Rattus norvegicus: one gene and its partner. The protein of the gene in region 2 interacts with the protein of the main gene of each other region in a biochemical or structural test. Links are inferred from orthologs where the notes say so. Each region holds a gene or a part of one and is shown on either strand. Other genes may lie near its edges.

What was found.
Region 1: of the proteins of Ccnd1 (region 2) and Cryab, one has a biochemical effect on the other in vitro, tested with the Homo sapiens proteins (2 studies listed by BioGRID, with this or other methods). The link is inferred for Rattus norvegicus from reciprocal best matches to the Homo sapiens genes CCND1 and CRYAB.

Annotation. Positions count from the first base shown.
Region 1 is NC_086026.1:59,990,220-59,994,374, reverse strand, and holds the start of Cryab (alpha-crystallin B chain), read right to left. Parts: upstream 2,845-4,155; 5' UTR 2,516-2,844; coding exon 2,315-2,515; intron 1,288-2,314; coding exon 1,165-1,287; intron 1-1,164. Other genes in the region: Hspb2 (heat shock protein beta-2), read left to right, coding at 3,569-3,662, 4,086-4,155. UniProt on the Homo sapiens protein: May contribute to the transparency and refractive index of the lens. Has chaperone-like activity, preventing aggregation of various proteins under a wide range of stress conditions.
Region 2 is NC_086019.1:209,517,762-209,521,376, forward strand, and holds the end of Ccnd1 (G1/S-specific cyclin-D1), read right to left. Parts: intron 3,554-3,615; coding exon of another isoform or gene 3,488-3,553; coding exon 3,323-3,487; 3' UTR 527-3,322; downstream 1-526. UniProt on the Homo sapiens protein: Regulatory component of the cyclin D1-CDK4 (DC) complex that phosphorylates and inhibits members of the retinoblastoma (RB) protein family including RB1 and regulates the cell-cycle during G(1)/S transition.

The sequences.
Region 1 (4,155 bases), on a different chromosome or scaffold from region 2:
ACCACCACGGCACAGCTGAGTTATTTTTTGTTAAGATTTTTTTAATTTTATGTATGAGCACTCTATCTGCATGTACACCTGCATGCCAGAAGAGGGCATTGGATCCCATTACAGATGGTTGTGAGCCACCATGTGGTTGCTGGGAATTGTATGCAGGACCTCTGGAAGAGCGGTCAGTGCTTTTAACTGCTGAGCCATCTCTCCAGGCCCTAAGTCATTAATTTTTTTTTCTTTTCTTTTTTTCGGAGCTGGGGACTGAACCCAGGGCCTTGCGCTTGCTAGGCAAACGCTCTACCGCTGAGCTAAATCCCCAACCCCAAGTCATTAATTTTTTTTTTTTTGGTTCTTTTTTTTCGGAGCTGGGGACCGAACCCAGGACCTTGCGCTTCCTAGGTAAGCGCTCTACCACTGAGCTAAATCCCCAGCCCCCCAAGTCATTAATTTTTAAGAAGCAATCATAACACCTTTTTAGGAAGTCAAGAAAAAAAAATGCTAAAAATGCAAGAGGAATTGTGGATGCTAATCCTGTTACCTATTGAATCCCAAGTACCCCAAGCATCCACACAAACAAATCTCAATTAACTTCCTCACAGCCATAAGCCTGAAGCTCTGAAAAGCAGACAAACCAAGTAGCATAGCATTAAACTGAGCAGAAGAGGCATGGAATCCTGAACATTCAAAAGCCACAGATTTTATTGCCTTCGACTCCGTGGTGACTGTCATTTCGCAGAGCCATTATGTACAGCACACTGTGCCTAGAGCAATGGCTGCCAGTTTGGGGTACAGAAAGTACCCAAGGAGTGAGTTTGTTTGTTTGTTTGTTTAAAGGTTGATGCCTGAGCTATGTCCCTAAAACTTCAGATTCAATTGGCCTAGGATGTGCTGAGGGTTGGGAATGTTGAGAATTCTTCTGCTATTCTGACGTCACTGGACAAGACAAGGCAATCAAAAGGAACATCCAGGGGAAAGTTCTCTCAGCACAGCCACAACACTAACAGCAGATCTAGCCCTAACTTGTTTCCCAGCCATTGATCTATAACTCCTGATCTAGTCTTATGTTTGGGGACTGGAATTCTGCCAGCCTCAGAGGCTGGTGGCGGCAGTCCCTGGCATCCAGCAGGGCACTAAATGAATTCACAAGAGAAGGCAGAAAGGTCCACACACCTGGCGCTCTTCGTGCTTGCCGTGCACCTCAATCACGTCTCCCAGAACCTTGACTTTGAGTTCCTCTGGAGAGAAGTGCTTCACGTCCAGGTTCACAGAGAACCTGTCCTTCTCCATACGCATCTAGAATAACAAGGGGGCGGAGGAGAAAAGATGGTAGAATGTCCATTAAGCTGGAGAAGGCTCATCGTCCAGGAGATTTACTTCCTGCCCTGGTAATCCATCCTCTACCTGGCTGCTGGGGGAAAAATCCTCTTATGACTAGTGACACTGGTATATGTGAGCCACCATGGTGATACCCAAAAGACACCTCTTAGTCATCCATCAGTCCCAAACTTTACCGAGAGGCACAGGGAAGAAGACGGGTCAGTAGGAGACTAGTCACAAGAATGGGTCTGGGGATGGCATCTGCTGCCTCTCTACCCAGTGCTGGCTTTGTCATTTGTCTATAAAACAAAAGCCCCCTTTTTCTTGTTCAGTTGCCTGCCAAGTTTCCAACCCACTCGATCTGGAATGTTCTGTCCTTCCAAAGCCCTTGCTCACTCAGCTCCTGTTTCCTCACACGCGAATATTTTTAAACCACAGTGTTATCTGTGACAACCTCTGTTAATCTTATCTCCCACGCTGCTGAGATAAGAAGTCAGGGCTTCCCAAGAGCGGTCCTCTTAAGGCATGGACTGAAGTCAATGCACTGTCTCAGCCCCGAGGAACCCGGAAAGTCATAGGCCAAGGAAGAGAGAGAGAGAGAGAGAGAGAGAGAGAGAGAGAGAGAGAGAGAGAATATTGATTGATGTATCCAGCTCCATCAAAAGGAAGTGGGGAGGAAAGAAGACAGGAAAAGCCCAGAATGAGTGGGTTTCTATCTGATCTCTACAGTTTGAGATGATAAAATCTGCCAGGACTGGGACTATTAAAGAGGTGGGTAAAGGAGTTGAAAGAGGAGAAAGAGGCACCATGCACAGAAAAATGGACCAGGAAACAGGAGCATCAAACAGAAACAGGTGCCCACAGGAAGAAGAAAACAGTAACCTCATTTCTCTGTACCTTTGCACACGCACATGCCTAAAATGACTTAGGCAGGGTGAAAGGGCAAAGGAATGGAGAGACCAGGAAGGATACGTATTCCTGCCCTGGCACAAGGGAGACTTACCTCTGAGAGCCCAGTGTCAATCCAGCTAGGTGCCCGCAGGAAGGAGGGTGGCCGAAGGTAGAAGGGGCTCAGGGAAGTGGCTGTAGAGAAGAGGTCAGACTCCAACAGGTGCTCTCCGAAGAACTGGTCAAAGAGGCGGCTTGGGGAGTGGAAAGGAAAGAAGGGACGCCGGATCCAGGGGTGGTGGATGGCTATGTCCATGATGGCTAGATGAGTGTAGAGTCGGTTAGCCGGTCAACTCCTTCAGCCGCTGCTACAGCCTGCCCCTTATATATGCAGTCTTGTGAAGCTTCTGGAACGGTGATGTCAGGGGTTTTATTATCCCAGCTCCCCGACAGTTCATGGGGACTTGTGATCAGGGATTTGGCAGGGTGACACATACCCAGTACTCACTGAGCTAAGAAAAGAGAAACACGGGGCAGGGCTGAGCTGGCCGGTGACTTGTCACGGTCTTGTTTCACTAGCTCTCTGTCCACACCTAGTGGCACCCACCCACCCCATCCTTGTTCTCTGGAGCCAGGACAGGGTCTGGAATCCCAAGCAGCTGCTGGTGGGCCCCTCCTCCTCTCCAGTCTTGCATGCCAGGGGAATTGAGCCAGCAACTATCTTGGGCCTGGGCAGAGGCTGGAATCTTCCTGGGCTGAGCCCCAGGGACATTAACTCTTTGTGGAGTCCCAGAGGAGAGCTGTGACCACCAATATGTCAGAACTAGGTGTCTGACTGGAACCCCGAGTTGATCTAGGTTCAGAAGACCCTGACATTAAAAAGACAGAAAATGTTTCTTGTATTTTTGACGTTCTGTGGCTCATAGAACATTGTCTTTTTTTTTTTTTTTTTCTAAGTAATGTGCTCAGTGCCTGAGACTGATAAGGACAAAGGGTGATGTGGAATGTACAATTGGTGAAGGGCCCAACCAGGCCTCTCCTTGCCCTCCTGCAGCGCACCAGTTTCTCTTCCCAGCTTACTCTAGGACCAGGACCCTCAGCTGTTCTTCCAGGCCTATGCGACAGCTGAAGGGTATACAGAGGAGGGGACTTAGGGGGTCCAGGCTGCGCTGATCACACCCTCATAGCTGCACTCTAGACTTAGGCTCCCACCCCTCCCCCATCCCCCAGACGCTCTGCACTATTTTGGGTGGTGTAGACCCCGCCCCCACTCTGACTGAGTCCTGGCTCTCCCTCTGAAGCTGGAGGGGTCGCCTTGATCTTGTTGGGGCTACACTTGGGATCAGGGCTACTAGTCGCAACAGCAGTCATGTCGGGCCGCACAGTGCCACACGCCCACCCAGCCACTGCCGAGTACGAATTTGCCAACCCTAGCCGCCTGGGCGAGCAGCGCTTCGGAGAAGGTATGGCTCAGATGCTTCCTACCCCCACCTCCGGAAATTCTGGGCTCACTGCCCAGCTTCACTGGCCTCCACTCTACCTGGGGCTTAAGTGAACTCCTGAGGTGAGCCATCTCCCACCCCAGACTCCCCCCTCAAGCAAGACTCTCTCTGGTCTTGCTAACAGACTTCAGGACCAAACTTTAGATCGGCAGGGCTTTCGGTGTCCGGGCCTTGCACGCTTCAGAGTATTTTCTGGTTTTGCTTCTGTCCTCCAGTTCCAGCTCGCTTTTTCCGTAACCATCTCCTCTCCTTTCCCAGCCCCTCTACAGTTTCCCACCTGCTCTTCTAGCCCATATCTCCAGATATCGCCTTTCAGCCCTGTCTGTGCCCGCTGCATTCTTCCTCATCCTGCCTCTTGCCTTCTCTTTCTTTCTCTGCTCCCAGGCCTCCTGCCAGAAGAGATCCTGACCCCCACCCTCTACCATGGCTACTATGTTCGGCCCCGGGCCGCCAG
Region 2 (3,615 bases):
AGGGTTTGCAAACAATACTAGTCATGAGCAGCTGCCACCCAGAGGACATCACAGGAGTCTAGCCAGGTCACTCAGGTCTCCTGGGACTGTGTGAAAGGCCACCTTGGGTCTTGGCCCTAACACTAAGCATTAGCTCTCTGGGCGCTTGGCAGCACCTAGGAACGGTGATTCACCCAGAGCAAACACCCATTTGCGCCAGACGAGGGGCAGTGAACGCCGGCTCTGTTGATCTTCCATCTGCAAATAAGCGAGAGGGTGAGCTGGCAGCGACAGGCTGAGAGCCGCTTCTGATCAGTGGCCGCCACTGGTCTCCCTGACGCCAGTGGCTCTCACTCTGCTCTTGGCTGCCACCCGCGAACACCCTTCCCTTTGGGAGTCCCAGGTTGGTGCCAGGGCCAGAGATGCTACCAAACACCCTGGGTGCAGAGGACAGGCTGGATCCCACATGGCTCTGGGATCAGGATGGCATACCTCCCCCCACCCCCGACTCCTGTCCTTAGGGCCAAGAAAATACACAACAGCAAGCTGGGATTTTACCAATTTTATTTCTAGATTTTTTTGTCTTTTTTTTTTTCCTGGACCATGCTGGTCACATGTCTGTGCTGGGAAGCGCCATGGTGTGTCAACCAGAATACACAAAGCCAACCTGACCACCAGCCAGAGCCCCTCAAAGCCATTCATGTCACAGGGCAGACTGTGTGGATCCACCAGCCTTTGGCCCTTTGGCCAAAACTTCACCCCATCACCATGGACACAGCAGCCCTCAAGGGTCCTGCCTGGTTGGGACGCCTCAGCTAAGCTGGTGGTGACCCTTTTGGTTTGGCAGCTTGCTAGGGAACCTGGGGCCTACAGCATTGCGGCTGGCTTTACATTAGCACAATGCTGTGAGTAACACAAAACAAGACAGAACACTAGAACCTAACAGATTAAATGATGCACCAGAGACTCAGAACAAATCTCTCCGGGTCCAGCAGCATGGTGGCATGCACAACAGGCCGCTACAAGTAACAATATTGATAACTAACAGAACACAGTTGCCCTGACTGCTGTGATGCTATGTCCCAGATCAAATGAAGGCCCAGCATGACAGGATGATCCCCAGCAGGGTCCCAGGGTCCCTGGAGGCAGACCACCCCACCCGCCTGCCAGGCCTATGCATGGCTAGGTGATACATGAGGTATTGTGTACAGGAACCTGTTTGTGTGTGTGTGTGTGTGTGTGTGTGTGTGTGTGTGTGTGTGTGTGTGTGTGTGTGGTTTTTTTTTTTTTTTTGGGAATACAGCGGTAATCACATTAATCCAAAATTGAATCACAATAAAAAAAAAAGTACAAAAAAGGGCATCTGTAAATACACTCTTCTACGAGGAAATTAAAACTTGAACATGGCAGTTTATGACATTGTAAAAAAAAAACAAACAAACCAACAACAACAAAATAAAACTGACCCTCCAATAGCAGCGAAAACAACATGAAAGATACAAAGCAACGTGAATCTGGTTCCGAACGCCGGGGATCCTGGGAGTCATTGGTAGCAGCGCTGTGAAAGGAGCCGCGGCCTGTCCCGTGTGGTCCCTACCCTCCATACTTCTTCTCTCACATCCCCTCTCCAGCCACCCGCTCTCCACCTCCCACCAACACATCCTGAACAGAAAGGCAGAGCCAGAGGTGTGCAAATTACCTACTGTTGCTAACTTGGGAGCGGCGGCAAGAATGTGCCAGACTCAAGACTCTTTTGGAGTCCCCTAATTTTCCTCAGTTTGGATGGCTCTCCAATGGGGCCAATTGGGTTGGGAAAGTCAAGGAGACCACATCTCCGTCTTTGTGGTTTGTTTTTTTTTGAGGACACCCCCACTTGCCCAATAAAAGACCAGTCTCTCAGACATGGCCCTAAACCTTCGCCAGCAGGGCAGAAGGTGTGCGTTTGAATCAAGGGAAGATCACATTGCTTTGAGTCACACGGGTCATGGGCAACCTTCCCAATAAATACTCTTCTGTAGCCTTACGTATAAATTAGAGATTTTAGTGTTTAAAAGCCTCCTGTGTGAAAGACTTAAGAGTCGTCCTGAATCCCCTTGTCCAGGTAATGCCATCACGGTCCCTACTTCCAAACGCCAGCTGGCACCAAAAGATCCCTCCGACTTTGCAGGAAGATCCCGGTGGTACGAGAACAGAGCTTTCTCTTCTCGACCCAACAAAACTTCCCAAGCACCTCATGCTACCAGCCCTACACACCTGCTGTGCAGCCATCAGAATTGAGTGTGTGGACATCCCCCAACCATTCCACTAGACCCCCTCCCCCACCGACACACACACACACACACACACACACACACACACACACACACACACCCAGCAACACTGCCTCCAGCTAGCTGACCAAAAGTGCTTTGAAATGGAATGGTTTTGGAACATGGAGAAGGAAAACATAACAAAACAAACCACACACAAAAGAAAAGCTGTGGGTTCAACCTGATGTGAGTGGGCTGCAGGGCCACCAGGCAAAAACCAGCATCTCTCTAAACAGGAACTACAAAACAGGAAGGTTACAAAAATAGAATATATTATGTCACTATTTCATCCCTACCGCTGCGTGGCTGGCTGGCGCTCTGTGAACCTGCAGGTTGTGGGGGGCAGAGGGCCCATAACATGAGCCCTGGAGGGTGCCACACGCCACGAGGCCGCTAGAGGTCGAATCGACCATCAGTAAGGTTAAGAGGTCTGCCCACTCCTGGGATAAAGCACAGGTATCATCAGGTAACAGGGCTGTAGGCACTGAACAAGCAGGGGAGTGAGGTTGAGGACCTTGCCAAAGCTGTGCCTTTTCAGCAAAGCAGAGTACATTTCTCTACCTAAAACCCTTCTACTTTAACAATGGTTTGCTGTATTTTTTTTCCTTCTTTTTTTAAAGCAATGTTTCTTAAGCTTTTTTTTCTTAAACACATAAAAGAATCAAAAATCCTTCTCAAGACTTCCTGTGTGTTAATCCTATTCTTAGAACAGACAAGCACATTAATAGAAAACTAGTTGATTACTGGGGTACAGAATTCTATTTTTGTAGCACCCCCCCGTCTCCCTATACTCAGGGTGATGCGAATTCTATCTCTCTCTCTCTCTTTAAGACAGCTTTCAGGTATTTTTTTTCTCTTTTGCTTAAATCAGATAGAAAGGAGAAAGATTAAGGAAAAACAACCAACAAAGAGAACAAAACTTCCCCTTCTGGTAACAACACATCCCCAAGGGGGACCTCGTCAGGAGCACCCGGGCTGGCTCCTTTCTCTTCGCGGATGCCACTACTTGGTGACTCCCGCCTGCCCGGTGGCCCTCAGATGTCCACATCTCGGACGTCGGTGGGTGTGCAAGCCAGACCAGCTTCTTCCTCCACTTCCCCTTCCTCCTCGGTGGCCTTGGGATCGATGTTCTGCTGGGCCTGGCGCAGGCTTGACTCCAGAAGGGCTTCAATCTGTTCCTGGCAGGCACGGAGGCAGTCCTGGAGAGGCGGGCGGAGATGGAGGGAGTCCTTGTTTAGCCAGAGGCCGGTGGCCAGGGCCTTGACCTGCGAGGCAGGCTTTGCTAAGGGCAAGGCTTGAGGAGACTCCCCAAGTCACCCCCAAACCC